3 linked regions of the Kluyveromyces lactis genome follow. The protein of the gene in region 3 interacts with the protein of the main gene of each other region in a pairwise test. Links are inferred from orthologs where the notes say so. Each region holds a gene or a part of one and is shown on either strand. Other genes may lie near its edges. The genes, in order: NOP19, HCA4 and SAS10.

Evidence for each region.
Region 1: the proteins of SAS10 (region 3) and NOP19 interact in binary tests that used the Saccharomyces cerevisiae proteins (3 or more experiments, as listed by UniProt). The link is inferred for Kluyveromyces lactis from reciprocal best matches to the Saccharomyces cerevisiae genes SAS10 and NOP19.
Region 2: the proteins of SAS10 (region 3) and HCA4 interact in binary tests that used the Saccharomyces cerevisiae proteins (3 or more experiments, as listed by UniProt). The link is inferred for Kluyveromyces lactis from reciprocal best matches to the Saccharomyces cerevisiae genes SAS10 and HCA4.

The regions. Positions count from the first base shown.
Region 1 is NC_006037.1:456,582-465,829, forward strand, and holds NOP19 (Nop19p), read right to left. Parts: upstream 5,386-9,248; coding exon 4,792-5,385; downstream 1-4,791. Other genes in the region: histone acetyltransferase GCN5, read right to left, coding at 1-425; ATG7 (Atg7p), read right to left, coding at 859-2,670; ribosome-binding protein NMD3, read right to left, coding at 2,992-4,536; ATP-dependent RNA helicase DBP8, read right to left, coding at 5,586-6,893; putative GTPase MTG2, read right to left, coding at 7,179-8,867; THP2 (Thp2p), read right to left, coding at 9,121-9,248.
Region 2 is NC_006040.1:793,285-805,124, forward strand, and holds HCA4 (RNA-dependent ATPase HCA4), read right to left. Parts: upstream 10,812-11,840; coding exon 8,499-10,811; downstream 1-8,498. Other genes in the region: chaperonin-containing T-complex subunit CCT8, read right to left, coding at 1-812; VPS53 (Vps53p), read left to right, coding at 1,741-4,152; KLLA0_D09416g (uncharacterized protein), read left to right, coding at 4,459-5,052; spindle checkpoint protein MAD2, read right to left, coding at 5,170-5,760; Rab geranylgeranyltransferase BET4, read left to right, coding at 5,949-5,951, 6,041-7,021; CTK2 (Ctk2p), read right to left, coding at 7,054-8,025; PML1 (Pml1p), read left to right, coding at 11,138-11,791. UniProt on the Saccharomyces cerevisiae protein: ATP-dependent RNA helicase required for ribosome biogenesis. Involved in the release of U14 snoRNA in pre-ribosomal complexes. Required for pre-rRNA cleavage at site A2.
Region 3 is NC_006039.1:1,430,658-1,442,497, reverse strand, and holds SAS10 (rRNA-processing protein SAS10), read right to left. Parts: upstream 7,434-11,840; coding exon 5,595-7,433; downstream 1-5,594. Other genes in the region: KLLA0_C16467g (alpha-mannosyltransferase), read right to left, coding at 1-496; KLLA0_C16445g (cyclin family protein), read left to right, coding at 1,189-2,523; MutS family protein MSH5, read left to right, coding at 2,693-5,497; RPC53 (DNA-directed RNA polymerase III subunit C53), read left to right, coding at 7,837-9,051; autophagy protein ATG9, read left to right, coding at 9,466-11,840. UniProt on the Saccharomyces cerevisiae protein: Primarily required at the G2/M phase. Essential for viability: involved in nucleolar processing of pre-18S ribosomal RNA as part of the ribosomal small subunit (SSU) processome.

The sequences.
Region 1 (9,248 bases), on a different chromosome or scaffold from region 3:
TTTTCAACTATAGGAGATGTATCCGTCTTTTCATTTGCTTCTTCCTCTAATTGTTTCTCTTCAGCCTTGGTAGTTGTACTACTGGCATTGTAGTCATTGACTGGTGATTCAACGACCTCTTCATTCGTTGTAACTGATTCGATTTTGTCTTCCACTGTTTTTACGGATTCCCCCGCAACTTTTGTTTCAGAAGTTCCGTTCTGTGCATCTATAGGTCCGTCCTCTTCCTTCTGGTCTTCCTTCTGGTCTTCCTTGCTCGTCTTGTGTTCTAAATCATCGGTAACATCTTCATCAACTGCAGATCCGCCATCGATTTCAGTTTCCACAGGCTCATCTTTGGGTTTGATTTCCTCTTTTACAGTGTCAACTTTTCCCCTCTTATTCTGGACTCTTCCAGCACCATGGTGGCGTCTCTTCGGTGGCATTTGGTGCTTAGCTTCTTGTCTACGTGTGACTATTTATCTTGTCTACGTGTGACTATTTATCCTGTCTACTCGACCTAATATATATTCCCGTTCTTGTATGCTTTGGTAATTTTTCAAGTTGATTTATACATCCGTACACCACAGTCGGATAACGAGTTTAGTCTACATCTAAAACATGCCTGGTATAAGCTGATGGATCACGGAAAAAGGCCCAGTTATGTAGGTGTACCAAGCCCGTCATGGCGTAATACGCTGCAAATTGTGCAAGACTTATATTTATCTTGGGAATTATAAAACTAAATTTCATCCTGACCGTTAAATCAGAGATAAACACCTTTTCCTAACGACGAATATCGATTTCTACGCTTCATCACAAAAGGAATGCATGTCACATCATTCCACGCATCAGCCTGTCAGATGCACTGGCTATACTTCACTCTATTGACAATTCCTCGTCGTCATCAAAGGAAATATCTTCTTGAATTGCCAATTCAGCCTCCTCTTGCACCTTCGACAGTCCACTTAATTGCTCCACACACTTATAATCATCTAGCGCCTGTTTCACGAAATTCCATCCGTTTTCCTTTAGAGTTAAAATGACATTTTCATTGCTTGCACAACAGTGCTGATATGCCGGTGTTTCAAGTTTTACAGTTTTAAATTCATTTAGAAATCCTCGTATTTGATGCGGAGCTGACCCAAGCACGTTCGTCGAAGGCTGAAGATATGTCACCAATAATTCAACAGCCTGGGAAGCCGCTAATAGGGCAACACCCGGTCTAGTTACAGTACACATCTGATCTAATGTTCTGTCAGTTAGAGAATCACTTGGGGCCACGATATCGTTACAGAAATAGCAACCCAGGTTGTCATTATTGTTGCCATGTCTCATTACCAAATAACTGTCAAAACCAAGGGCCGCATTAATAACTATTTTTTCATGCATTCGTCCAAGCACCGAGGGAAGCCATCTCGTCTCGCGTGCATCCATTAAAAGAAATATAACATCATGCGTCCTTATAAGCTCGTCCAAAATTTCATAATCCTTCCTCTGCTTGCTTTCGTTCGATACAGGATGTCCTATCATTGGTATTTCCAATTGATAACCTGCAGAAACGACAGAAGGAAATATCTTCTTCAGAGAGTCACTGGCAGCTTCGGCCTTTGGTCGCCCACAATCTTCAAAGTTGAATAATGGTTGCCTTACCGGATTAGAGAAAGAGACAGTGCTGTTGTCGACAAAAGTTACATGACGAGTACCCCAAGCTAATAAAGCTCTAGCCACGTAGCAACCTAGGGTACCTGACCCCAAGATCAATGCTTTAATGTTCTTTATTCTTTCTAGATCAATGTCAGGAGCAATCCTCCATTTCATTAGCTTGAGATTGAGATCAATGGATTGTTCTGCTATCTTCACGGGATCCATCAATGAGCTTAAGTCAGCCGATTTCGGAGCTAATTTTCCAAGACCATTTTTCTCCCAACCGCTGACCTTAAGACATCCTGTATTGCTCCCGGTAACTCTGATCTCTGCCGCGAAGCTGGAATTATCATCACGAAGGAAACATATGGTGTACGTATTCCTTGTGGATATTTGACTCCAAACCGTTAGAAAGTTCTTAGTAACTGCGGCAGGAATGCCCTTCAGCCGACTGAAGTCCTTGAAGATGACTTTCTGACATACTTTGAGATACTGAGGTGATGCTTCCTGAATCTTTCCATCCACAACACAGGAGATAAAGCTGTTCTGCTCCCATATATCCTTCTTTACACCATCTTCGATTGATTTTGTTGAGATTATTTCGTACGATGACCCCTCAGACTGGAAAGTAGGCATACAAACCCAATAATAAAACTTATATTTCTTCAAATCGGCGAAGCTTATGACATAAAACCTAACACACTCTTTGAGACCATTCTTGAGGCCCTGTTCTAGTAATTGCTGTCCCTTTTCCTTGATAAACTTTACTTTGTCACAGGATTTGAATGATTCGATAGTATTAAAATTCAACACTGACCCTTTCAAAGTCACTGCCTCATTATTGAGAACAGGATCGAAACTGTCATCTCTAAGCGAGAGTGAAACAGTGTTAGAAGTGATATTTTCAAGGTCTAGTGCAGAGAACAATTCTTTCTCAGCAGAGTCTAACTTGAACACTTCAAGTTTTAATCTTGATAATTCATGGAAAAACGAGGTATCAACAAAAGACTTAAAAGCTGGTGAAAACTTAAGATCGTTAAGCATCTTTCCTGGTACTCAGGTTTTGTTCCATGAAGAAAGAATAGTACTTCTTGGTTTACTTTATTTATCTATGCACTGCAGTTAAGGGTATAGTGTATCAGGGTAGTATTACGAATCGACGTCTTTTTTACAAGAATGAACTAAACTCAGGAAAGCATTGTTACCCTGAAACATGCCAATTATTAATATTCACTAGTGTACACTATACAAGACGGCCATTGTATCATTGATCTAATGCAGATGATGAGTAAATTCAACTAACTTGCCTATCTCGTAAATATATATTGTAATTATTGTCCAAACAAGAAGAGACTAAACCAAATTCTATAGCATTTCTTCACCTTGTTGTTGATCTTCTAAAGTCATCTCATCCAACTCATCTAATAGTTCATCAATATCAATTTGTGGAGCATCTTCATCTTCATCTTCTTCCATCTCGCCTTCGTGCTCTGCTGGTTTGTTGCTCTTATATAGATTGATTGTTTGTCTCATTTCCTCATCTTCCTCCAATTCTTGTAGGAAAATCTCATAATCTCTTTCAGCACGTTCCATTTCTTGTTTCTGTTGTCTTGAAGTGTAGTCTTGAGAAGCTTCGATATCCTTGTGTTCCTTAGCCATTCTCTTCAACTTCCATTTTCTGTTCTTCTTTGTCTTTCTTTGATATAGTTTCTTGATTAGAACGATGTCTGGCACGTAATCAATATTTAAACCATCGAAGAGCTCTGAGTTATAGTTAGAGTTAGCGATAAAGTAACCCATGACACTGTCACCAGGATGAATAATACCACCAAGATGTGTTCTAACGTAATAGACTTGGTCATTGGAGCCTAGATCGGAAGATCTAGCGACAGTAACGTCAGCCAATACCCATTTGTTTCTAACTTGACCAGTAGGTTCAACGTCCAATATGATGAATTCAACTAGTTGGGACACTTCAGCTAATGCACTGAAAGGTTCACGCCAGTACATTGGAGCAGTCAAATCACACGTTTGAAGAGTGGTTGGATCCAGGAACTGGAGAGAGTTAGAAACCTTGGAACAGATGACAAATTGACTGATGTTACCCAAAGACTTGGCAAGCTTCTTAGGTAAAACAACCAAATCATCTCTACAAATTGGAACAATTTCCACGGAAAAAGTGAATTTGTAAGTAGATGAACCGGTATGGATATCTTGAGAGATTAACTCCTCGGATTTTTTACATTTGATAGGTACGACAGCATTTAAGAAATCCAACATCTTAGCAGCATGGTTCTTTTGAGAATAGAAGAAATCTAAACCATCCTTTGCCTCACTAATGGAAATGGTGTCAACATGGGCATTGTGCTTCAAAATCAACTGTTCTAAATACAAGAAAGTTCTCTTATGAGGAACTTTTTGTCTAATTTGGACGTTTGCTCTCCATGTATTAGTGGTATAAGATCTAGCACAGTCCGGACATTGCATGGCAATCACCACATATTCCACTTCAAATGTTTGCTGGATAATAGTGTTAGCCATAGCTTCACCTTGAACGGTCAATTTGACCCGGATACGTCTAGAATGAGGTTCGGTCCAGATAAATGATGCATCCACTAATCGAACTTTGTTTAAGCCTTTCAAACGACGTAAACACAACGCCAAAAGTTCACGAGATTCCAAAGAAGCCCTAATCCATTGGCTTGGTGGTTGCAAGAACCTCTCACAGTTTCTACAGAAAGAAACATTAGCCTCTCTGGGAATACCTTCTGTAATATCGACATTCAACTTAATACAGTCGTAACACATAACTAGCCCTGAGGACCCATCCATAGGCACACCACAACTGCAACATAGCACTGTAGCATGCTGATGTTGCATGTGATTCTGATCTAACGGAGTGTAATTCATCGAGTTCGGTGGATACTTCTGCCCTTGCTGGAATACCTATAATGCAGACATTAATCAGCTTTCAAGCACTATCAGACTGTGCAAGAACAAGATGCGATGAGATGAGCTTTCTCAAAATTTTTCTTAAAAGAGACTGCGAACCCTCAAGAAAAAGAAATTTTGCACGTGACTTTGAACCTTGGATTTATGCATCTATGCATATTAAGCTAGTCTATATACAGGAGAATTACACTTTATAAAGAATGATTAACACGTTCAACGTTTGGATTTCTTTCCAGCAAATAGCAAGCCAAATTGTTTCTTGGAATGTTTTTGTACTTTAGGTTCCATATCTTCTTCATCCGAGGAAGAGTCGGAATGCGATGAAGTCGATTTGGTATAATATTGGTTTTTACTGTGGTCTTTCGAAACATTTGTGCCTCTCGGAAGCTCGTTACGTATCTTCTGTCTTTCCTGATTCCTTATCTTATGTTTTAACGAAACCATAGCCTGGGAGTCGTCTTTCCTCACTCTGTGTATACTGTTTCTCTGTTGCACGTCCTTGGTAGCTCTTTTCTTTTTGGCTAAAGAGCTGACCTTCTTATCACTTTTGATGAACTCTCCAATGGTATGTATATCGGTATCATCAGTACTTTGCGCGTTCTCAAATGATAAACCGCTTCCTATTTGAATGACAGGCAACTGGAAAAATTCCTTCTTTGATTCGTTGCTATCCTCCTTTGCTAGATCATTAGATGACGTCTTAGAATCCTCTATCCATCCGAGCACCTTAGCAGTGGAACTGCTAAACCCATTTTGAAATTTAGCAAGTAGTGCTTGCTTTTCTTTTATCTCCTGAGCTCTTGACATGGCTTGGTGAGTCTGTATTACTTGTTAGATTGTAAGAGTATACCTTTATGGCGGCCGATGCATCTCATCTGGTTCGATCTCATCGCTTCAAAGAATAAGTTACCATTTTTTTTTCAGTGATTACTCTCTAAGGAAGAATCAGAATTCACGTGACTGATTTTTAAATGGAATATGTGGATAGGTCTATCAACTATGTGAGTTTATGTACGTCTATGAGTCTTTTCTTTGGATTCATTCTTTCTCTTTTGGAGTTTCCTTCTTTCACCAAAACCTTCTTTATCCATGGCCATGAGACTTTCTCTTTTTGCTGCTGTAACCTTAGTTAACGACTTCCTAATCACGGCTGTATCACCTACATCGGTGAACTCTTCCATCTTTTTATTAATCCTTTCCTCAATTGCCTCTACTCTTTGAATATCCTTTTCTGTTACAAAACATAGTGATTCACCATGGCGTCCGGCACGCGCTGTACGACCAGCTCTATGAATGAAAGTATCTGGGTTGCCAGGAATATCATAGTTTACAACAAGTTCAACAATAGGGATATCCAAACCTCTAGAAGCGACATCAGTAGCGATAAGAACTCTCGCAGCTTGTGCCCTGAATCTTTGTACAGAGTTCGTTCTTTCTTGTTGTGGCATTTGACTATGAAGTGACGTGACTCTTACATCTAAAGATTTCAAAGTTCTTCTTAAGATTTCAGCCGTTACGGTACGATTAACGAAAATAATGCAACTTGATTTGACGTATTTCTCACTGGTCAATATCTGGTATAAGTATGACTCTTTAACGTGCTCTGGGACTAGCAAATATGTCGTCTCTAATGTCTTCGGAATGGCGACGTTATCAACAGACTCAACCTCAAAAGTAAACACAGGAGGTTTGCCCTCCGTCTGTGGAGCGTCTGATAAAGCTTTCACTTGGTCTGTCATAGTAGCAGTGAAAAGGAGATTCTGTCTTTTGTTTTTCGGTGGTAAAATACTTACACATGTAGCAAGGTCCTTACTGAACGTTTCCGTCAATAATATATCGGCTTCATCTAGTACCAGAAATTTTACTCTTTTTAGCCCTCCAATGGTATCTTCCCCGCTATTCAGGACATGGTGTGCTAATCTACCTGGTGTGGCTATTATGAAATGTGGTCGTTTCTGTAATTCGATAGCTTGTTGCACTATGCTCTCACCACCAACTACTATTGCGACTCTGATGTTCATAGCACTTCCAAATGCTGTGAACTGCTCTGCGATCTGCATCGCAAGTTCTCTGGTAGGTGTTAAGACGATCCCAAACATACCTTGAGGGTCCTCGGACCATTTGGTCAACATCGGAGCTGCAAAAGCAATAGTCTTACCACTACCGGTGTTGGCACCACCTATACAGTCACGCCCTTTCAAAATCTCAGGAATACAAGCCTTTTGAATCGCAGTGGGCTGCACGATTTTCATCGCATTTAATGCTTCCACTAACCATTTTGAACATCCTAAGGACTTGAACTCAGAATTAGACATCTCTTAATATAGATATTATAGTTCTTAGGTACTCTTGGCGAGGTTTATATACAAGTTACTCCTACTAACCACAGCCTTTAGGTCAAAGCACATCTCATCGCATCTGTATAGAAATTTTACATGTTAAAGACTCTTTCCGTTTTCTTTTTTCATTCAAATATGCACCAATATGGGATTTTGGGGGCCCAAAATATTGGATTTCGGAACAATATTCGAACATCGGAACTTAGAAAAAGAAGTAGAGCATGACGTCCAGTAAGGATGTGCCGCTTATTCGTGTTATATCTACAGTTTACCAGCACATTGTGCCATTTTATGCAGGAGTACATCAATATTTTCTCCTTTGAGAGCACTTATTGGTACGACATCCCAGTTGTTTTCTTGGCATTGGGCTTGGATTTTCTGATACTTCTTAAATGTAGATTTCTCATCGATATCAGCTTTATTACAAACCACTAGAATATTCTTCAATGATACAACCTCTTTGCCACCCACTTCTTCAATAAGTATTTGTAAATCTTGAGATGGATCATCCTTTTCAAGACTGATCACGAAAACCCAACCTTTGGAACGTTCAATGTGTCTTAAAAATTCAAGACCCATTCCCTTGTCCTGAGAGGCATCTTTAATAATTCCCGGAATATCTGCAACTGTGAACTTCGGTTTGTCAATCCCAAGTGAGATTGTTCCAATCGTTGGGTGTAACGTAGTGAATTCCCAATGGCCTACTCTAGGAGTAGCATTAGAAATCTGGTTTAAAATAGTAGATTTCCCGGCATTTGGTAGTCCAACAAGTCCCAGATCAGCAATACTTTTCAATTCAAACATAAAATGTTGTTGAAGTCCACTCCTACCCTCTTTACAAAATCTTGGGTTTCTGATCAAGCTGGTTAAGAAATGCATATTACCTAGACCCCCTTTACCACCCTTTAGCAAACAGATTGGTTTCTCAGTTGGTTTACTCAAATCCAATCCATATAATGGGAATCTATCAGATTCAAGCTCCGTTTGTAGTAAGTTATGATCATATTCTGTTACATTTTTGGAAAGGTCTTGAAACCAGTCTTTTGATAAATGATATTCTTCATCTTTACCCTTAAAGATCCAACCTTTTCCAGGTTCGTAAGATTCTCTGAACATTTGAATACGGTTTGGTTTCTGATCCATGTAAAATCTGCCTGTACAATTCAAGATGATATTGGAAGTGTCCAATATGGTTCTCAATGATCCTCCTCCCTGTTCTTTAATTTTCTGGTCTACATGCTCTCTCACAACTTTGGGATCCAAGCACCATGTTACCACCGTCCCGACCGGAACTGTAATCATTACATCTTTACCTTTCGATCCATCTGCCTGAGCAGAAGTACCATTAGAACCATTATCTGCGATATATGTAGTCTGAAGTTTTGAGAGACTGTTAATTCCTTCTATGGCCTGAACGTACACAGACCCACCACCGCCCCCGTCTCCTCCATCTGGAGGACCAATGGCGCGCCCTCTATCTCTAAAAAACGAAATACATCCGTCACCGCCATTACCTGAAGCACACTTGATGATTCTCAAGTCAACAAAGTTCGACTGTTGAACTCGTATGTTCTTATTCTTTTGTAGGTATGATAGCTTGGTGAAGTTTGACAATGGCGATTTGATTTCGATGTATTGCGTATCTGGCGGCGTCGATATAATATTGAATGTAATCTTATTCCTTAATCCCTTCATTGGTTGAACAGAAGTCTTCTTCTCTTCCTTTATTGACAAGTTCTGAGTTGATTCGACGGCTGCTGTTGGAGCCTTTTGCTTAGATCGGCTGCTCGCTAGCTCTTGCAGCCATATCTCATTATCAATAGCGCCAGGTGCATTATCTGGTACATCTGAAAAAAACCTGCAGCGGTTGACTCTTGATATCCTTCTAAATATTGGCCGCCCTAACATCACTATAGCTCCGGTTCTTATTGACTTTCTACGGGTATCCATTTGTTCCTTTACCTGGTTGCATGTGTCAATTAACTTAAGTCGTATCTCATCGTCAACTCATCTTTATTTTGTTGAGTTTAAATAATGAACGTCAATATGTGATAATTTCTGACAATCAGCATATCGAACACAAACAACGCCATAAGCTAAATATAAGTACACCTGGCACTCTGTTGTCCGCTCATTATTTATTGCTATTGCTACATATTCTATTATACTATTAACGTCATCAATTTATAGATCCCTGGATACATTATTCCATTTGGTAATCAGTCGACTCTACGGTCAACAGCTCTTTGATGTTCTCTGCCTTCTGTACCAATTTCTTTAAAGAAGTTGGAGAGTCACCAAATAGTGAGTTTTCAATGTGGGTCCATCTCT
Region 2 (11,840 bases), on a different chromosome or scaffold from region 3:
AAATCTAACATCTCCTGAGCATTATGTAAAAGCACAGTACCCTTGGTTTCGGTGTTTGAGATATCAATTGGACATGTAAACACAGCAACCTTATGCTTTTCACCTTGAGGCAAGGACTTCAAATGTCCTTCTGGTTCGCGGTTGAAGACTAAACCCTTGATAACAGATGAGTTGGTAAGGGAACCACCCATAATCTTTACCACTCTAATTGAGTCGACATTGAAATAGTTGGAATTTGGTAGCAAGACATGTGCCACAGCGTCTGATACTAAGGAACTTAAAATATCTTCAGAACCATATTGCTTGGATGCAATGACTGGCTTGATGACCTTGATTAACTCACTTTTTTCATGTTTGTTCTTGATATCCAACACAGACATCTTGTCAAGTTCTGCCAAAGTAAAATTCTTTGCCATTGTGTAACCTTGAATAATTTCTACAGGTGAAAGACCTAGCGCAATAAGCTTTTCACTAACATTCAAAAGCTCACCAGCCAACACCATAACAAGGTTAGTACCATCACCCATATCAATTTTTTGTTGTTCAGATGCCATCACCAACACTTTAACAGCAGGATGGACAATCTCTAATTCCCTTAGCATGGTAGCAGCATCGTTGGTCACAATGTGCTTTCCCAAATGATTAATGATGATCTTGTTTCTGCCGCATGGCCCCATAGAAGTTAAACACATCTGGTGAATCTCTCTAATGGCAGCGATCGATTTATTGATTTGACCATCAGCATTAGAGTACGAATTGTACCCTTGCTTGAACAATCCCGCATTAGGATTTTGAGGAAGTTTCAAAGACATGCTGCTTTTCAAGGATTTGTGAATTATCTGCTTTCCTTCCAAGGTATAGCTTTTCCACGTACAAGTTTCGTCTTCGCCACCTTTGTTCACGCACTGTTTTCTATATTTCAACTATGTTGTTAAAAGATACTTTAGCATTTTTTTTTTTCAGTATTGAGAGATATGCAGAAAATATGGGAATGCTTTAGCCAATAGTTACTAGGGACAAAGTGTCTGAATAAGGCATGTGTACATGTGTGTTTCTGGAGATCTGAAAGTACTATCATCTTACTCTAAAGAATAGGTATGTAGCTGGGTGATGGATGCATCCACGTCAACATCCTAGGAATAATCATAGCAGAATAGAGTTATGTATCTTAAAACTTCGCTGATCCTGGCAAATCAAACCATTTCAATATATAGCTCAGGAAGGCACTTACTCTGTTGTTCTGCCATATGCAAAACATATGTTTGTAAGAGCAGCATCGTTGGCTACACACTGTAACTCGTTGAGCAATAATATATTATGCAGTGCGAAGATTACATCGTTCTGGTATATGTACAGTGTCAATGAAGCTACTCAAAGGAATTGCTTCAGTAGCTCAGTCGGAAGAGCGTCAGTCTCATAATCTGAAGGTCGAGAGTTCGAACCTCCCCTGGAGCATTATTTTTTTCATAGTTAAAGGGTTTGGAACTGTCAATTCACCTTTTAAAGACTTTGTATTTTTTTTCGATATTTCTGATATCAGACTTTCATAGTAATTATTGCATACAGAAACAAATATAACAAGAACCTTTGTTGTATCATCAGTAAATGACAAAAAGAGCCAGCAATTGTAAGTTGCAGAGGTATAATTCTCCCTTCTCTATCCAGCTCCTCCCCATTATTGTTTCCTGTATTAGTATCACGCACATTAATTTGAATTGAATAACTAGAACTTAACAAGTAATGATTTCAGAATCTTTGGAATACGATCCCTTACACGATCTTCAACAGATATTCTCGAAGCAGGAATCTTTATCAGATATTGATAACCTAGTGCTATTAACCGAAAAATGTAAATTTAATTTAGAGGAGCGGGTACGAGAAAGCAATAACACCAGTTCAGAAGTCAATAGTTTAGAAGACAATTATGATTTCCACAAGTTGTTTGAGAAGATAAATTCAACGAAGTCTCTGTCACAGATTACTGAAGCAACCATATCCGACTTGACACATGATATTTCAGATTTGGATAACGCTAAGAGGAATATAACGAGATCGATGACGTGCTTTGAAAATTTGAAGATCTTGAGTGATGCATACGTGAACTCTAAAAAGTACATGCAAGCTGAAAAATACATTGAAATGTGCGGCCCCTTTAAAGTTATGCATTCCTTATCTGTATCTTTCCACGAATATAAATCTTTGGATGAGTTTTGTAAGTTTCTAAATCAAATTCATCGTTTAGAGAGTGATACACTATTGGTGTGTGAGAGAGTAACGAAAGAAGTGCTTAGGGATGGGTCTAACAGTAAATATGACAGCAAAACGATGAAAGACGGTATATGTTGCCTTGCGGACACTAATAAGCATTATAAAGAAAGGATTGTGCAATTGTGTTTGGATTCTCTATTGTATGAAATTAAAGAAATCTTCCAAATTGATGATGAAGCTGGTTCTTTGGAGAATTTGTCTAGACGTTACATCTTCTTCAAAAAAGTATTAAATAATTTCCAGTCTACTTTCAGCGAATATTTCCCATCAGAATGGGAGATACCTTTGAAACTAACGGATTCTTTCTTCACAATGACGTCTAACGATTTGAAAACATTATTGAAGAGAGATTTGTCCGGTACCACCTCCATTGACCTATTCATGCAATCGTTACAAACTACCTTAGAGTTTGAAAAATACATATCAGTGAAGTTTTCCCATATATACGAGGGTAAAATATCCACTTGCTTTGAGCCATATTTGAAATTATGGGTTAGACACCAAGATTCATCTTTGAACGCCAAGATGTTGACATATCTTAATGAGACCAAGCTCCCAGCTAAAAATGAATCGCTTGTCGTTCCATCCAGTGCAGACTTGTTTAGAACTTATAGACACATTCTTTCTCAAACTTTCAGCTTGATAGAAGGCGGTAATAAATCGACCATAATGGTGGAATTGGCGGTTTTCTTCGTCAAATGGTTGAATGAATATTATGAAAAGATTTTGAAACCATTGTTGTTACCTGAGGATACACAAATCGATGATAAGAATGAAGTAGTGAAATATACCGTTCTTCTTGTCAATACAGCAGACTATTGCGCAAATACAATTGATCAATTGCAAGATAAACTCTGTGAATATCTTGAGAATGATGAGCCAAATATCAACAAAGTTGCAGCCATTTTTGAACCTACAAGGCAAAAATACATGGATCTCGTATCGGGTGGTATCAATTTACTACTAAATCGCATCCTGAAGAAAGATTTGGAATTTGTATGGAGGGAGTTCACAAACACAAATTGGGCTAATACAATGGTGGAAGATTACAGCAGATATGTGACTACCTTACAGAGTATCCTCCTACCAACAAGATCGGAAAATTCAACATTTTACTCCACTGTTTCTCAATTCAATAGAGATCTTTATGGTTGGAATTTTATTGATAAAACTATTGATTTAATAGCTATCTCTTTTGAATCTCAAATTATAAAGCTCTTGAAACCAGCTTTACCATATGGCACTCTTAATTCGAAAAGACAGTTCGATGTGAAGCAAGTGATAAATATCGCAGAACAATTATTGTTAGACGTTCAACTATTGAAGACAACGTTGCATTCACTTCCGGAAAGTTTACCGCAACATGACACATCAGCTAAAAGAGTCACGAAACACATAGATAGTAATGTGGAAAAACTAATGCATCTTTTAAAGTTACTTGTCTCTCCTATTGACCCTGATACAACATACTTGGAAACCTATTATGCAATAACCGCAAGTCAGAATACAAACTCAAATTTCTGGGCATTTATACTAGCGCTAAAAGGTGTACCTTGGGATTTGGCACTTTGGAAAAGAGTATGGTCAGAATTTCAACAATCAGATGATGATACTCAACCGATGAAACCAGATGACCTTATTTTCAACCCTAGAGAACTACAAAACTTTATTTACAATCTATCGAGGGTATCAGATCCATCATGGAAAACATTTTTGGAGGAAGACCTCAAGATTAAACCTGTTCCACGTCCTGATTTATCCGTAGCTATACAGTCCTCCCCTAGTCCACCCACTGGGTCTCCATCCCCTAAGATTCCTGGACATAAATTGAATGAGATAAAAAACCTTATGTCAAACTCCAGTTTTTTTTTCAAGAAGGGCTAACTGCTTCTGTAGAGAAGCTTCCACACGCAGTTTGACCAACGAAACAGCAACACTACTTGTAATACTACCTTTACCTCTGTAGCAGATTTATCAGTTTAAATAGGCTTTTTTTAACATTTTCGAGGCATGTCAATGCGTCAAGTCAAAATGACACAGAAAACTCGAAGATATTATTTACTTATGAATATTAAGATATATCAGTTAACCTGAGCACTTACAATATATCTGATTATATGACAAAATGTGCCGCACAAGTTGGTTCGGCTATCGACTTTATTTTGAAATCAGACCTGGTATCCTCATGCAATGATTCCATTCTTCTACATAATGATTTTTTTCACTATAGCTGAAAGCACGCTTACAGATGCTGAGTTTAAGGAAATTGATATGTTTATAGATGTTGTTGGTGAATCACATTTTGCTCTGATGTTTCCTGTGGAATTGATCAGAACCGATTTGAATGATACGTTTGACCCAAAACAAGTTTACGATATTTTTGATGAATTAGCTGAAGAGCGCAAAGAGTTTCAAATAGTAAAAGAACTTGATATACCTGAGTTTGTGGCCGAACCGCTTTATGATAGGCTGACATATCTCTCAGTCAAATTGGATAATGGATACACCGTAAATCTAGCAAATGAAATAGCAATAATTCAGGATATAATCCAAATAGCAGCAGAGTCAGACAACATTAAACTCGATTTTACTGCTCTTCTTAGAGTTAAAGAAGAGTTGAGGGTTGATATGGCAGCCGTGTCAAAATTAAAGTTGTTCAAAACGTGCTTATTGTCCAACCTTTTCCCATTTATGCAGGAAGAATGCGAAGGACTCTTAAGACAAAAGCTAATTGAACATCTCAAGATTTGGATAGAAGTTTGGAAAAGACACCAAGATGATTGAATTAGTATGAGCTTTCTCGAGTTGAATTAAGTATTATGTGCCTTTTCTACTATATCTTGTTCCTATTTGTAGCATAAGTATTAAAAGGAAATGCAATAAGTTCAGCCATTAATTTTGTTAGAACTTATAAGTGACTTCAGCTCCCACTGAATAGGCCGATGTACCGAAAGACTTGAATTGCACAGATTCCCCCTTCGCTATTTCTTTTGAATCAGAATCTGTCCATTCTAGTGGAACATTCGCATTACTATCAGTATAGGCCAAAACATTGAAAGTATAGTTACCTTCATTTTTCAATTCGGGCAAGAAAGTGACACTGGCTGTTATCTGTCTAAGTACTGCCCGAATCTCCTTTTGGGTTTCCTCTAATGGAATGTTCATATCATCATCAGTATCGTTCTTGTTGCTGTGAGAATCTACGTTAAACTTCCATCTTTCAATTGTTTCACCATCATCCTTATCTACTATACACAGAACAAGCTGGTGACATTTACCTCCCAATAACCACCTATGAACCTGCCGGAGAATTTCCCGTATGTATTGTTTAAGTTCTGTATCTTGTGTTTTTAATAAGCTCAAATCATACTTCTTAACTGTAGCGAAGTCTTCTGCCGGGTATACTGCTCGTTGATATAATATTGAATTTATACTATATTCAAAGAACTCAGTAACAATTCGTGTCGAACCTTTTAATGATATCAAATCCATGTTTCCAATTTTACTTTCCAGTCTCTTCTGAATCCTTGTTCGTCGAAGCAAGTTCAAAAAACATATGTTATTGAGCTCATTTTAAACTACTATTTTTTATAATTAACATTCAAACTTATAAGTTATGATTATGATGAACAGCAAATCAGAACGTTAAACTCAATTCCACAGAGACTCGAGGACAAATAATGGTATGGCAGACCTCGGCACTCTTTTCAAAGAAGATTCTCATAATATACAATTGCAGATTACTAACATTTACAAATTGAAATGAATTCAGCATGGTGTTACACGAAGAGAGTGGACAAAGGAGTTATTAAGGAAGAAGCGCGAGAAGGAGAGACAGGAAATCCTCGATTATCGAGAATTATCAGATGAGGTTTTAGAATTGAAGAATAAAAGAGTAGCAAACAAGGACTCTCTTCTGAAGACTACCCAGTTACTTAATATCAATCCAGAATTCAACACCATCTGGAATTATAGACGTGAAATTATAAAACTACTTGCCCCATCACTGGATCAAACTTTCTGGGATGGGGAACTTGCTTTCACTATGGACAAATTGAAGGTTCGTCCAAAAGTATACTGGATATGGAATCACAGGGTTTGGTGTTTAGAGCATTATCCTAATTCTCCCTTGAAAATCTGGTTGAAAGAATTAGCCATTGTTGGCAAATTACTGGAAATGGATGCGAGAAATTTCCATGGATGGCATTACAGAAGATACATCGTAAGCACAGTAGAACGCTTAAGCGGAAACTGTCTAAATTCACAAGAGTTTGAATACACAACCGCGAAAATAAATCAAAATATCTCTAACTTTAGCGCGTGGTTCCAACGAACGAATATAATTGAACATATGCTGGCGAGAGATCAAATAGCTGACAAAGAGTCCTTCATCGACGATGAATTTCAGTACATAAAGAATGCCATGTTCACTGATGCTGAAGATCAATCTGTCTGGACGTATCTGATCTGGTTTATTAAAGAGAGTGCACTAAAAGAGCATATGACGTCAGAAAAGTATAGCAGTATGCTAAAAGAACTAACCGAGATCATTGAACTTATAAACGATGATGATATTAGTTTCTCTGGAAAGGATAATATTTGGTGTCTAAAGACACTACTTGTGATTGAGTTCATTCAAAAAGATATCCTCAAGGAAGATATAAAATCAAAATCTAGAGAATATCTTGATAAGTTGATAATTATCGATCCCTTGAGGAAAAATAGGTATTTATACCAAATAAGAGCTCTATGAAATGATTGTATTATTACATGAATATGAAGATCTCATTCAACCTCACTGATAGATCTTTTTTTGGTAGATATCGATTCTTCTTGAAGAGAGTTCTGGTTCAAAACATATCTTCTTTCTTTCACAGCAAAGTTCCGTTCCTTTGACACGTAATCGTCTTTATCTAATGCTATTGGATCAACCTTTAGTCCCTGCTCAGGGCCAGCGGTCTTTTTTATTTCAATGAATGTTTCAATCTTTAGGTTTAAAGATTTGACAGTTTCATGGTCTTTTAAATCACATGCATCGAAGACATTGATATAAAAATTTAGAATATCGAAATACGCTTCATGAAAAGAAGCCGCATCCGTTTCAAATAAATTATATCGAACATTGGGCCATTTTGTTTCATTAAGTAGTTCACATGCAAGTTTCAATACCGCCAATGCTATGGTATGAGGTGGGACGGTAATGAGCAATTCGAGTTTTAATACATCGAAGGCTATAAGCCATGCCAGTCGACAACAGCTGTAAGGTAATGAGAGTTCACGGCCAATTTTGACTATAAACTCATCTATGTGCACTTCGTTGTTGACTCTGTAATCAAAGGAGCAAGTTTCTAATACTCGTAGCTCCATTTGCATCACTCTCTTTTTAAAAGCATCAACCATATCCGGCGTTACACGAGGTACATTACGAATCTTTAATGCCGTACTGCACACCTCCCCTAATCTCTTAAACGTTTCAACCTGTTTACAACTTAAAAATAAACAACTCGTTCCAACATCATAACACATTTCGGTCTCGAATTTATTGAATGCATGATATCTGTGATAAAAGTACATTGTCGCTTCCAAAACTTTCCTTGGTAATTTGAGGTGAACACATAATTGGCATAAATATTTGAACACCAATATCCTCTTTTGGTTATATGTTCGGCGATCAGGAATGTTATATTTCTGGGATTTCTGTAGTTGTGATTTAGTAAGATACGGTCTGGATAAAATTAAGTCACTTTGATTCGACATTGCAGAGTAGTAATTGGAACTAAAACCCACGAAATTCTACCCTCACTAATCACAGCCTATCTAATACAGGTATATTGGGGTTTTCTTATATTTGACACCAACTTTGGATAGAATAGAACTCTTATCGTTTAGAAACGACAACTTTTGCTTCTTTCTATAATACTACACATACAAAAGCTATTCTTATTTCATTTTAATTTTTCATTCGCAGAACAGGTTTAAAACAAAACTTTTTGAATGAAATTTCCCTTCAAGTAACATGTCATTTTAAACGTTTTGATCTTTGGAAGGTCTGTGGGTGAAATGCTTTGAATCACGAAGCAAGTCGGTAAATGCCAGAGCTACTTTGATGAGGCAATAAATTATTCAAGTGTATTGTCGTAATCCTAAAAGGGAGATGTTATCCTATTATTGGAATGCAAGGTTATCGTCTATTTTTATACATGATTAAATAAGTCAAGCAGTTGATGAATCTAAGATCCAATCAAATTTGCTGTTAGAGATTCCAAATCTTCAAGAGTCTGTGGCTCTTCCACTTCGATAATTCTATCACGTTCAGTAGTTCTTTCTTCCTCTTCCTCATCTTCACTGGAATCAGCATATTTGCTCTTTTTTCTTGGTTGCCTTTCATCTTGAGAATCGTCTTCAGTGTCAGCTCCAGATTGCATATCGTCACTTAGGTTCCCAGTTCCAAGGTATGCTACTGGTTCATCCTCATAATCACTATCCTCCATATCAGCTTCCATTTCTTTTCTCATTGCTTCTAGTCTCTTACGTTTCTTTTCTTGCCTTTTCTCTTTTGCAACCTGTTTATCTTCTACATCAACCTTTGCCATAAGCTCTGCCTCCTTAGACAAGAACTCTTCTTTTTGCTTCTCTGAGTTACCATTTTGACGGAAATCTTGTTCATCTTCTAATTCGTAAACAGGATGAGCTTTACCATCATCGTCAAATTTGACTTTGGTTGGGTTACCATTAGATGCTAATGTTGCCTTCCTTGATAATGCTTTCTTTTGGGCTCTCTTAGATGTTGGAACAAGAAGTTCAGGTAATTCAGCTTCATTCAACTCATGGTCTTGACGTTTAACCATGATGAAATCTTCATCCTCATCATCATGAGCTTGTGCTTTGGTGACATTCAGATAGTGCTCACTTAGCACAGTTTGGTTTTTCCGTTCGAACATCTTGTCATATCTGGTCCTCACTTCAGGTTTGTTTTCTTTAATCACATCACCTTCATCATTTGCCTTTGCTAGGGTTAGGAGCTGTCTTGATGTATTTTTCAACTCCTTTGCCTTCTCTATCGATTTCATTCCCCTCATCTTGATCTTTGGAGCACCTGGTAAACCTAAAGAGTTAGCAAATTGTTCCAATGGTATTTTGTCGAAATGGAAGACTTCTTTGTCTTTTTGAATGTATATCGATCTAACATAAGAAATGAAAGCCTTTTGGCCTAGATATTTCAATTCGGGATCTTTGAAAAGGAGTGATTGTAACTGAGGTTTGATAGATTTCTTTTTTGATTGTTTGATATTTAGTCTACTGGGCTCAATGTTTTTAGTTTTTAATCTTTTCAAGAATCCCTCCTCTTCCTCTGGTGTTAACATAATGAGTGACTTACCTTCTTTACCGAATCTGGCTGCTCTTCCAACTCTGTGGATATATGTATCGACATCCTCAGGACAATCAACCTGGATCACCCAATCAACAGATGGGAAATCAATACCTCTAGCAACCACATCAGTTGAGAATAGACAGACATGTTGCGCTCTGCTGAACTTATCCAGCGTCTCAGTTCTCGCCGTTTGCTTTTGTCTACCATGCAAGTGCATCAAAGATATACCAGGTTGTAATTTCCTGAAAGTTTCATAAACAAAATGCACCTGTTTAGAGCTTGATAGAAACACAATTAACTTAGACTTTAAATGCGATTTTATGAAACTGAACAGAATGTCAAGTTTGTCAGGTAGTGGCACTTCGATATATGACTGCTGTAAAGATTCTGGAGTCGCAGATGAACTATTAGCATTTAAAACTTCCATCGTTCCTACCTGTTTGTAATCTGTCAAAGATAATCTAGCCAAGTCATCCAAACTTTGTGATTGAGTAGCTGAAAACAAAAGTGTTTGTCTTGAAGCAGGCAAATTATTAATAATGGCATCAAGGGTTCTCTTGAAACCCATATCTAGACATCTGTCGGCTTCATCGAGTACTAACAACTGTAAATTTGAAGTATTGAATCCAACGGCTTGATCCATATGCTGTAAGATTCTGCCTGGTGTTCCTATTAGAATGTTAATTCTCGAAATTCTCTCTTTCTCAAAAGTAACATCTTTACCACCAATAACCAAACCGGCGGAGAAGGTAGTGTGCTTACCAATTTTACTTAACACTTCATATATTTGCATGGCCAATTCTCTTGTTGGGGAGATGATCAATGCACCTAGCCCATCCATGTCTGTCCACTTCTCTCTGTATAACTTTTCGATAACAGGGATCAAAAATGCTAGAGTCTTACCAGAACCTGTCTTGGCAGCGCCTAATACATCGTGGCCTTTCAAGGAGAGAGGTATGGACTCGCGCTGAATCTCGGTTAATTTGATAAATGCTGCTTCTTTCAACCCTTTTAGAGTTTGTTCACTAATGGGTAAATCTTGAAACAAATTAGCCTTAGCAATTTTCGGGTTATATTCTTCAACCTTAGTTTCAAGATCTTTGATCTTCTGGCTGTCTCTTTCACGAATCAGCTTACGCTGCTGGGTATTATGCTTTTGTTTCTTGGCCATCTTTAAATGCTCTTTGCAAACCAATTATAAGTTATATTGGCACAGTTGATTAAACGTTTAGTTAAATGATTAAATGCACCAGTTTGCTACTTTAATCAACTTCTCTATAGGTCGATTAATGATACCGCTCAAAGACAAAGTAAACTACTTTTCCTTGAGGTTGAGGTTCGAACCTCTATCTAGATGAGATGAGATGAGATGAGCTCTTCTATTTACCAAAAATTTTCTTTTCTATTTCTTTTTTCCTACAACATGAAAAGCGATGAAATGACAGATGAACCTTATATTGTGAATTGCACAATATATGGAATAAATATGTAAGATATATGGAATATACCGTCATCTATGGAAGCAACGGCGCCAAAAGAATGAGCATCAAACGTGAAGGTAGCAGATATCGATACGATCACGAAACGAAAAGAAGCCGCTATGAAGGTGCCCAAAAAAAAGTAATCTTGCCTATATTTGAGCCATCAGGATTATTGGAACTGGAAAGCCACCAGAAAAAAGGCATACAACTTAAGCATGTAGAGCCCAAAGATGCGATATCACCCCACGATTTCTATAAAAAGCTAAAAGTACCTAAGTGGGATCAAATTCGTTATGAGCTTGTTGTGTATAGGAAGGGCGTCAAGGGTGAAGTAAGTAAAACTAAGTTGCATGATAAAAGTTGCTATATTATCGGTAGAGGATTAGGTCAGAGTCTACGACGCTTCGAATCTGATGGAGAGGAAATTATTCTTGCTGATATCCCAATCCAAGAGGAAAGCTGTTCGAAAGAACATTGTGCCGTACAATTCCGACAAGTCGGTGAATCTTTAATTCCATACTTGATTGATCTTGATTCTTCCAACGGTACGTGTTTGAATGATTCAGCCGTTCCTAGCGCCCGGTATATCGAGTTAAAGAGCTCTGATATTATACACGTATCTGAAGATCCAAATGATTCAGATTATGAGCTCATTTTCCTAGCCGTATGATCTATTCTTTTGTATTTTTCATGTACAAGTCCTTCTTGAGAATCGATTT
Region 3 (11,840 bases):
CAATCCCTCTCTTAGTTGCATAGATTTGTTCCAACTGACTTGCACTTGTATCAACTGTACTCAAGTATTTAACAAATTTCTCATGGCCATTCTTCAAAGAGTTATAGTTACTCTCGGGTAATTGCAAACATTTGGCCAAATTATCATAACTTAACCTCTCATCACGACCATTGGAATCGAATCCAACGTCCCCCATATCACACTCTTTAGCCTTAATATCACCCCAACCAAATTCTCTCTTCATTGGAGCTGCACCTTCCAACTGCGCAAATAATGTCTTGAAAAACTCATCACTAGCATCTGTTCTGTCAAGCTTTGGTGCGCTTGGTAAACTGCTCTGCGAATCAGGCCTGCTTGTATCTAATGCACCGTGGTATGTATCGACGATATAATTCTTTGTCGGTTCATGAAAGAAAACGGTGACATTAAGAACGACTACTATCAGTACCACCAAGAACAGCCTTCTAATGGCAGCTCTGGGCCTATAGATACCCATTGTCAATGATTTTTTATCTTACTAGAAGCTCAAAACGTTGGAACCTAACCAGCAAGCAATCCAGCAACAGAGTATACAACTAATCACCTCCTGTGAACTTGCAAGTATATCAATATTGATAATTGATTCCATCCACGGGCAGACCATGCATACTGAGCCAGCTTAAAGCTCTAATTTTCCAAAATTCCATTCTTAGCTCTTCTTCTCTATAACGTAATTGACGACACGCCAAAAATGGGTCCAACACGCGTCGTGTAACATGATAAAAAGAGAATTCCCAAACAAGTAATTATATCCAGAAAAGGAAATATTGCCCAAAAGAGTTTTTGTATGGTGAACCTTTTTTTTTTATTTTTTTGTGTTTACACTTTTCCTCGATTTGAACATTTTTCTCTTTTAAAGATTTCATCAGGAAAACTTCACTCTTCATACATAATATATCAAATTTGGAGGATACAAATAAGTTTTGGATTCTCTGCTAGAGGTCGTATCGTTATGTTATAGAGCCATTGTACCTTTATATCGGTTCGATTTAGTTTGGTATAACATCGAGTTTTCTACTTTTCTTCTGAATTCATATTTAGTTACTAAGGAAGGGATATTCATCCAGGAATTGAATACTTGGCTTTGAATAAAGATTTGTGCTTATTGTGTTCTTTTTTTAATTGTTCTTCAGTCCGCGTCTTTGATTGATGATGCAAATGCAGCAAAGGGTAGCACTTGGTGATGTTACTTCACAGATTAACAATAGGGCCAATCGGTTTAGTGTTGACGGTGACAGCAAGAAAGCGTTTGTTGATGCTGGATTCTTGAAGGAGAAAAGGGTAAAGAATGCGAAGGAGAATGATTTGTTTAGTGGTCATGACGATGATTTAGTAGTAGCACGGGCTCAAAAACTACGAGAACAGACTCTTGTTTCTTCTGTGAGTACTGAGAGTATACGGTCGCAACAATTGTCTAGCAATAGTAACGAAACAGTACAACACCATTTGATTGAGGTTGAAGCAGATGATGAGGATGATGCGGAGACTGATAGTGAGGCACTAGCTTTTAAAGAAGATGAAGAAGCAGAAACAGGCGGAGATATAAGTGAGGAAATGGAAGACGTAGATGAAAGTTTTACGCCGTTAGTGCCGGTGGTAACGGAACATTCAGAGAGGTTATATCAATATGTGTATGAGAGGTTACACCGTGAGGAGCCTGACCCTAACGATGAGGACACATGGGACCCTGTTATGGTATCGGAATATACCATTGAAATTTTTGAACATTTGAAGTTTTTGGAGAGGAAATTTTCGCCGAATCCCAGGTATATCGAACATCAACCGGAACTAACGTGGAAATACAGATCAACGTTGATCGATTGGATTGTTCAAGTCCACGATAGGTTCCAGTTGTTACCTGAGACGTTATTTTTAACGGTAAACATTATCGATAGGTTTTTATCAAAGAAACAAGTCACTTTGAACAGGTTGCAATTAGTCGGTGCAGCAGCTCTATTCATTGCTTCCAAATACGAGGAGATCAACTGTCCAACTTTGAAAGATATGCTGTATATGCTGGACAATGCATACACTAGAGAAGAGATTCTAAGGGCAGAAAGATTCATGATCAATACGTTAAATTTCGAATTTGGATGGCCAGGTCCAATGTCATTTTTAAGAAGAGTTAGTAAAGCGGATGATTATGAATACGATACAAGAACCGTGGCTAAATATTTATTGGAAACTTCCATAATGGAGCCAGAAATAATAGCAGCGCCACCATCTTGGCTTGCTGCAGGTGCATATTACTTGAGTAAAATCATTATCGGACTCACAGGTTGGTCTGACGAACACATATATTATTCCGGTTACACAGAAGAGCAATTAATACCGTTGGCAACAATGATTTTGGATTCATGCAGACATGCAACAGAACGTCACAAAGCAATATTCGATAAGTACTCGAGGAGTCGCCATAGGAAATCTGCTTTTGTAGTAGCGAAGTGGATTTCAATGGCCGAGAGTCGGTTGGAACAGAAATAAATTCGACAAAAAGAGAGCGGCTAATCATTACTCATACGCCTTCCCGACACATCTAGATAGTACTTAACTCAAAGAAAGCAAAGAAAAAGTGTCAATTCACTTCTTTATCTAATGTTATATTTCGTTTAAATTTCATTTCCAGCACAAATTTACTTTAAAAGTGAAAAGAATGAGATTATTCAGTTTTACTTTCAAAACTAAACTGCACTGTTTATTGACAGAGCGAAGAAAACGAAGGGAAGAAACGGTACAGGCAATTATTCAAGACCAATCACCATCAACAATGCCAGTCACGGCTAAACGTCCGTTATTTATTGATCGGTCGGTCGATTCTGAACTAATTCCAGGTATTGGGAATATACAGGATAGCAATGCTACCGAAATACCCGCCGAAGGTGAAAACAGAAATGTATTGGAAAAATATGCAGATGAAACCATGCATGAGCAAAGCATTAATTGGGAAAATGAAGTAGTATTCTGCTTGGAACTACAGCAGTCCAAGCTTGGAATATCTCTATTGGACATAAATCAAGAGACTTTATCGGTTCTAAATCAGGACATTATTGTTAATGCCAGAAGTTCAGAAAATATGAATGAAGTGAACTTGATTCTAGAAAATTTGATACTTGAAAATGAACCTAGCGTAGTGTTGTGTTCAAGCAGGTTAGGGGAAGTGATTTATGAAAACCTCAAATTTTTGTCAATCGAGCGCAGTTTTAGATTGCAGATGCAGTCCCATGACAAATTTAAAGTAGAATATTTTGTTCAACATTGGAACAACTTTCAAGAGTCCCAACAATTGATAGATATTCAAGGATTTCAGATCTTGGACCAATTGGGTACAAACAAAGCCGCTAAAGTGACAACCATGTCATTGAGCTGCTTGATAAAATCTATGGATCATTTCTCCGCCGTTGATTTTGACGAATGTGAGATGTTTAATTTTTTCGAAAAGGTCAATATAGTGAGACAATTAATGTTGAAGGATCGGCTCTTTCTTGATGATGATACTCTGGCGGCTTTACATATTTTTAAACCCATCCAGATACCAGGACATTTTTGTGAAATAACAAAAACCGGCTATTCATCTGTGTTTGATTTGCTCAATCACACTACTTCAGAACTTGGTAAAAGATTGCTAAAATCCTGGTTAGCCAGTCCACTATCTAATAAAATATTAATAGAAGAGAGACAAAAGGTGATACGATCTCTAATTGACGGCAAGAATGCGATATTATTCGACGATCTTTCAAATTCTCTAAAGTACATGCCTAATATATTCAGCATTGTAAATGAAATGAGCAAAGGCGCAGTAAAACTCTCAGTGTGGAGAAAATATATTTCTTTCTGTACCAAAACTGTCGAGATCATAAACTTAATCCATATTCTCTACGATTCTTCAGATAATTGCCGGTTATTTAACACCATAAAAAATGACCTTGATAAAAGCATGATGTTGAAGATATTAAAGAAAACCGAAAGTGTTCTTGATTTGGAGGGGTCCCTTAACCAAGATGCGATTGTTATAAAGGATAAAGTTCGTATAGAACTAGATGAGGCAAGAGGAACTTACTTCGAGCTTGAAGGTGTTTTAAATCTTGTGGCAAATGAGGCAAACAATACACTAATATCAACATTGCAGAGTAATGAGGAGAAGCTTTTTAAAAAATTGAACGGACGAAATGCTTTGATAAATGCGATATATCTACCACAACTTGGTTATTTACTATGTGTTGATGCATCCATAGAAGATATGTTCGATCCAGCTGTGCTATACTGGACTGAAATTTTCAGAGAACAGAATGTAATATATTACAAGAATGATGATACGAAAGTTATGGACGAACACTATGGTGACCTTCATGGAATAATATCCGATTTAGAGTTGGAGATCCTACTTGAACTACAAAATGCAGTCTTGAATACAAAGCCAGCAATTTTGCTGTCAGGAAAATGTTTCGCAGAGCTCGAGGTTTTAGTCTCATTTGCTAAGACCGCCATTAGCCAAAATTATGTCCAGCCTGTCATTGAGGAAAAGGAATGTGTAATTGAAATTGAAAACGGCCGGCACCCCTTATATGAAACACTTGTAGACACATACATCCCCAATGACCTTCGCATGCTTGGCGGAACTTTTGATAATGATACTTGGAATAATAATTTCAAAAGAATTTCTGTCATTACTGGCGCTAATGCGTCTGGTAAATCTGTTTTTTTAACGCAGAACGGACTTATAGTGTTTCTTGCTCATATTGGTTGTTTCGTTCCTGCTGATAATGCACGTATTGGTCTCGTGGACAAAATATTGACCAGAGTAGTGACTCGGGAATCTGTAGCAAAGACGCAGAGTACATTTGAGATTGATGCAAATCAAATGTCCAAGTGTTTGTCATTGGCAACGCCGAGAAGCTTACTTTTGATTGATGAGTTTGGTAAAGGGACAGATGTGATTGACGGCCTATCTATGTTCGGAGCAATTATAAAGGACTTTTCAAGGAGCTCGTCTTGCCCTAGAGTGATCGCATCTACTCATTATAACGAAGTTTTCAGTCCAAACATCCTTACTAGTGAAATTAATGGTGTAGTATTCTATAAAACCGAGATTTTATTGCAGGTGATGGAAAAGGAAAATAAAGGAAATGCCAGAGATGAAATGATTACCTTTTTGTACAAATTGAGCACCGGAATTGCCACGAACTCTTTTGGTATATTCTGTGCCAAAAACTGTGGCTTAAGGCAGAGCATTGTCCAAAGAGCACAAGAACTTACAACTCAGATAGCAGATGGATTTGACATTGCTAAGAACTACAGCAAACTAACTATCGAAGAATTGAACCAATTTAGAATTGACCAGGATATTGCGAAAGAGTTTGTAGCATGGGATCTTGATCTTGAGTCCATCCATTCTGACAAGATACAGCATGCAATACGGAGAAAACTACAAAGAATATTGGATGCTGGACAAAGCTGCTAATTCGTGAGTACTCAGAAAGCAAAATATTACACGAATGAATAATGCGAGTTTTTTTTTAATGCATGGAGTATATAGATACACTAAATATCATCTAGTACTAATTTTTAAATTTCACAGACTTCGTTAGATTCTTCTTAATACCAGTCTTTTCACCTTCATACGCACCAGATTGACCACCAGAGTAGACAGCACGCACAGATTTGAGCTTCTTTTGAGCTTTTTCGTACTTCTTTCTCTTTTTGACACGCGAATTTCTGTTGTCCTTCTTCCTTCTTGGTGTTAGACCCTTATTCTTTAGAATTTGATAGTTGATTGCACGTTTACCATCTTCTGTAATGTGTTCGGCCAATTCAGCCAATTTTCCTTCCTTAGCAGCTTTCGCCACCTCTTTGTGTGCTTGAAGACGGGAATCTTTCTTGTGTTGTCTATCAGCCCTGATGCTCTTGTAATATTCATTCTCGGCATCACGTTTAATGTCTTTGGCAGTCTTTTCATCATCCGAGTTGATATCATCCGTATTAAGATCTGCCGCATTTTTATCATGCAAGCCACGTTTTCTAGCTTCTTCAAGTAGCCTCTGTTGTCTTTCGTAAAGTCTTTCTTTGTAGGGAATATCGTCATCACCTTTGAATCTATCAGTCTTCTTACTAGCCTTTTGATCGATTTTGGAAGTGTAGAAACGTAACGTCTTCTTCCTTGTTTTCTTTTCTTGGACATCAACATCTGCAATCTCATCTTCAACAAAGTCATCAACGTCTTGTAATATCCTGTCTTTCTGAACTTTGTTTGCAGCTCTGTTCGAAAGTTCGATATCAAAGTTTTCTTCTTCTTCGCTTTCCATATCACCCTCCTCGTCCTCATTCTCATCTTCTGCCTCATCGTCACTGGCACTTGCTTCACTGTCCAGTTCATCCTGTTCTTGTAATAGTTCTTCATCAAGTTCACCAATATCCGAAATATTTTCTTCAGCGTCAGAGTCTTGCTCAAAGCGTATTGCTTCTGTGTCCGGTAGTTCGCTAGCTTGTCTCCAAATTTCTTTACACTCCAAAATACGCTCCATTACCGGATGATCTTTCATAGAAATGAAATCTTCGTTATTCTGTAATTCATATAAGAAAACTGCAAAATATGAACTAATTGTTCCAAGATATGAAGATAATGCCATAATTTTGATCTGAATCAATTCATTATTCTCCTCAGTTTGTTTGAGTTTCAGCTCGTCTAAAACGGGTGATAATTTACTGAATTCCTTTGATAAAGGAAGGTATTCTGGGAAGGATGTCTTCAAGAAACCTTCCTTTCTCTCTAAGTCCATGTTGAGAACATCCCTAAGGGAGATTTCAGTAGGACGTTCTTGATCCTTTTGATCTTTAAATTGACCTAAATCGAATTCCTTAGCTTCTTTTACCCATTCTTCATCAACTTCATCCTCAAGATAGTCTTCCATATGAAGGTCTTCCAAATGTTTCTTCTGTTGGCGCAAAGCTTCCTTTTCTATCTCTCTTGCAGTCTCTTCATCGTCCAAGTCATCGGCACCGTAGTATTCTGCCTTAGAAGCACCCCATGCGTTCTCATTGTCCAGCATAGTACCACTCTCTTCTTCTGCATTCTCACCAACGTCTAATTTCCTACCAAAAACCTTCTTATACACAGCTTCACCTGTTAATTCTTCTTGTTCACTTTCATCATCTTCAACTTCTTCACTTTCATCCTCACTATCTTCATCTGACATTCCCATCACTTCTTCTTCTTCATCCACTGAAAGATCAAAATCATCTTCTGGTTCCCTTTGATCAAGACCTGCGTCCTCAAGTAGCACTTTTTCTCTCTTGTTTGCAAAGTCATCGACCTCATTCATGCCATAGGCAACATCTTCTTCCTGGTCTTGTCTACGATTAGACCCTCTTTTTGAGACCTTTGCACCTCTCTTTGCCATATTTGAAGTACAATGTCCAGTACAATTTAAGTCCAACTCAATATACAGTCGATTACAGCGGCTGATAGTAGTTACCTGTTATGCAGCTTGTCATTCTCTTAGTTATACCTATTCTCTGAATTGAGATGAGATGAGATGAGCTTTAACTTTAAACAAAATTTTCCAACATTGCTTTTTCAAGATTTTTCACCAAAATTGAAAGCTGCACTACTACTGGAAGAGATCACAATGAGATGAGCAAAGTTGATGCGCAAATAGTCAATGCAAGGGTTAGTATCCAGTAACTAGTCTTCGTTTTCATATTAGGATTTGCTGTTGAACGAAGAAACGGTCGAGAATCGCAGTATTAAACGCTTGAGTCAAGAAGTTATTTGCATCAAATTGTGATAGGAATCAACTAAAGATGAGTGGACGTTTACCTGGATTGAACCAGGGGAAACCATCAACCGGAACCTCGCTGAAGTTTAAGCCCAAAGTGGTAGCTCGTAAATCTAAGGAGGAACGAGATGCTAACGTTCTGAAGGTAGAAGAGCCGAATAAACAGGTTGAGAAGAAGAAATATACACAGAAACCACAGGGCAACCAGAAGAGGCAGCCGAAGTATTTAAACAACACAAGAATTATCACATCAGGCCCATTGGCAGCTGGTAATTTCTCTGGAGGATCTAATAAAGGGAATAATGGATTCATTAAGACGGAGGGTTCTCAAAGCAGTCTTGTGCAACGCGGTTTGAAAGCTGTTTCTGATGATGAAGCAGAGGGATCGGACGCAGAAGATTCAAAAGCTGGGAAGAGAATTAACATGGGGAAAGAGTATACAGAGGCAGACTTCAAGAAGGAAACTGACGATCTGTTTGATGAAGATGAGGATTCTAATACTGATGCAGCCATGAGTGAAGAGACCAGAGCCTCTAAACAATTGGCCAATCTTTTCCCTGTCAGGGCAGTTCGTATCAATCACGAAAAGGTGGATTCTCTACAGAAAGTTGTCCAGGAATCCATGTCAACTTTGCAGACCAGGGAACCAACACCAGGACCTGTGAAGCTAGAACCAGAACAATCGGATGGTACTTTAAATGACATAGTGAACGAGAAGGAACAGCAGTTAAAAGAAAAACTGCGTTTGCTTCAACTTCAACAAGATTTCCAATCTGTTGACAGCGCAGAAGCTCTCAGGGAAACAAATTTGTTATTTGAGGATCATAAACATATGTACAAAAAGTTAAACAAGATTAACGACGTTCCAAATAAGTTTATGTTCTTCCAGTTCCCATCAAATCTACCTGAATTTCAGCCACAACCCCCAGTGAAATCCACCGAAGAAGATGTAAAGCCAAATGGTGAAGCAAAAGTAGATGAAGGAAGTGAACAATCAAATAGTAAAAACAGCAAAGAAACACAAATAGATTCACCTGAGCCTTTGATCGGAAACGTTGGTTCAATTAGAATGCATCGATCCGGCAAAATGTCAATCAAGATCGGGGACGTCGTAATGGATATCAGCAGGGGCGCAGAGTCTACATTTTTGCAAGACGTGGTTACACTAGATTTGGAGGGAGAAGAAGCGGAGCTACTAGGCCAAATCGACGGAAGAGCGATTGTAACACCACATATCTAATTATATAGATTTCTGCATGTACATGATAGTTGAAGAAAAAGCTCAGCAAATCAATTCGTATGATAACATTAATTTAATGTAGACAACTACATCAAGAATGGGAGATTCAAATACCACTGCGAACACAATCAGCAGCTACTGCATAGTAACCTAATAAAGATGCATCGCCTTTTCAGGTTATAATTCCTGAAATCAGAATAGTCATTAAGTACGAGTTGATGTTTGGATATGCAGGGCTCCATTACAAAACTTGTTCATGTATACAAGGATTCCCTTAAAAATGACTTCAACAAACACAAAACAAGGTATAATCGAAAGGACACTACAACCATAACCTTACCTCTCACGGTATTTAGTCAGTTGATTGAATCAACTTGAAAAGTTTGGATCAATAAAATTTTGGAAGTCTGAGTTATGACGGATAGTCAGGATAAAGTAAATGGTGGATCCAAGAACACATTTCTATCAAGAGTGTTTGGTGTGCACTCATCTGCTGTAGAAAACTCTTTGGATGCCGCTGAGATGAGCCATATTACTATGCCTACGGAACAGGATTTTAGTAACTATGCCGAGGATGAAGGTAATGTGAGGCTAATAGAATCCGATCAGGAACCATCTTCATCTAACGAGGACAGCAATGATGAGGAGCCGCTAATACAACAGCCACAATCCATAAGATTTGATACAGCATCTGATGGGATGGCAACAATACAATCGGAATCAGAGCCCGATGAGGGAGGTACAGAAGAAGATGAAGTGCACTTAGAAGAAGAGGATTTCAGCGATCAAGACTTGGCAAGCTCTGTTTCGAAATACGGACAGCCTTCAAGCAGCGAAGACGAGGAGCCATTATCAAATCGTGACAGTAATAGAGGATCTGACGAAACGATACCTTTCATAGGTAGACAACGACTGAATCTAGGTGGTAAAAACCCCATTACAGGAGCAACTAAGTCAACCAAGAACCCTTCGGAAAGCAGGGTATTCGAAAGATTGTTAGGGAATAGCCCTGCAAAGATGTTTCGCAATAACGGAAGGCCGAATAATCTTGAGGAGAGTTTTCTCTTCCGAAAGCCATCAGTCGCAGAACAATCAGGACCAGGTAAATCAACTCATTTCAATTTGAAACCTCCTCCAATATTTAACAATATTTCTACTTTGACAAGCACTTCAAAGAACAGCTTATCTTCACTTAGTCCAAAGGAACGAGCTTTATGGAAATGGGCAAATATCGAAAATTTAGACACTTTTTTGCAGCAGGTGTACGAATATTACCTAGGGAACGGATTCTACTGTATCATCACAGAGAAGGTTATTCATCTAGCTACAATCTTGTTTGTGGTATTCATTTCAACTTACATGGGCCATTGCATAGATTATTCAAGGTTGTCATCGTCTCATACTTTTGAAGAAATTCATATTGAACAATGTTATAAGACACAGATCTCTCCAACTGCAAAGGTATTTCTATGGATATTTTACGCCTTCATAGGGCTTAAAGTTCTACAATTGTATTTTGATGTGAAAGCATTGAAGGACATCCGAAACTTTTACAACTACCTTTTAAGCATATCAGATAAAGATTTACAAACTATTCCATGGCAAAGTGTGATTCAACAACTAGTATTACTTAAGGATCAGAATGCGATCACAGCAAATGCTACCGAAGTCAAAGCAAAAAACAGGTTGAGTGCGCATGACGTGGCTAATCGAATTATGCGCAAAGAGAATTTTGTCATTGCACTATATGATAACAATATTCTTGACTTATCCCTACCAGTACCTCTACTAAGAACATGTGCTCTTACCAAGACGCTCGAATGGAACATAAATCTTTGTATTTTAGGTTTTGCATTCAATGAGAAGGGCTATTTAAAGCAAGCTTTCTTAAGAGAAAGCCAGAGAGAATACCTGGGAGAGGAGTTAAAGAAGAGGTTTGTTCTTGCTGGATTCTTGAACATTATCTTATCCCCATTCTTAGTAACATACTTTGTTCTATTGAACTTCTTCAGATATTTTAATGAGTACAAAACCTCCCCAGGATCAATAGGTTCTCGGCAATATACTCCTATTGCTGAATGGAAATTTAGGGAATACAATGAATTATATCATATTTTCCAAAAAAGAATGAGATTGAGCATGATAATAGCGGACAATTATGTCAATCAATTTCCCAATACATTATTAAGCTTGACCTTAAGCTTTATACAGTTTGTTTCCGGTTCTTTTGTGGCAATCTTGGGTATTCTGACAATATTTGATCCAGACAATTTCTTAAACTTCGAAATTACACCTGACAGAACTGTTTTATTTTACATGACTGTTTTTGGTACTTTATGGGCAGTTTGTCACAGTTCTATCAACGATGAGTATACGGTTCTCAAACCAGAGGAAACACTGGAGGAACTTGTGTCGTATACACACTACGCTCCAAAGGAATGGAAGGGGAAATATCATACAGAGGACATCAAAAATGAGTTTTGTAGGCTTTACAACTTGAGAATCACATTATTACTAAGGGAACTAGTCAGCATTATAATCACTCCCTTCATATTATGGTTCTCCCTGCCAAAGAATTCAGAAAGAATAATAGATTTTTTTAGAGAATGTACCGTCTATGAGGAGGGGTTGGGATACGTGTGTAAGTACGCAATGTTTGAAGCTACTAAAATTGACAAAGGTACCAAGGCCAAAAAACAAACTAAGAGAATGTTTTCCCAAGCAGAACAGGATGATAGTGAAACCGAATCGGATGAGGGTGTTAACAAAATGCTTCAGTCATATATGTA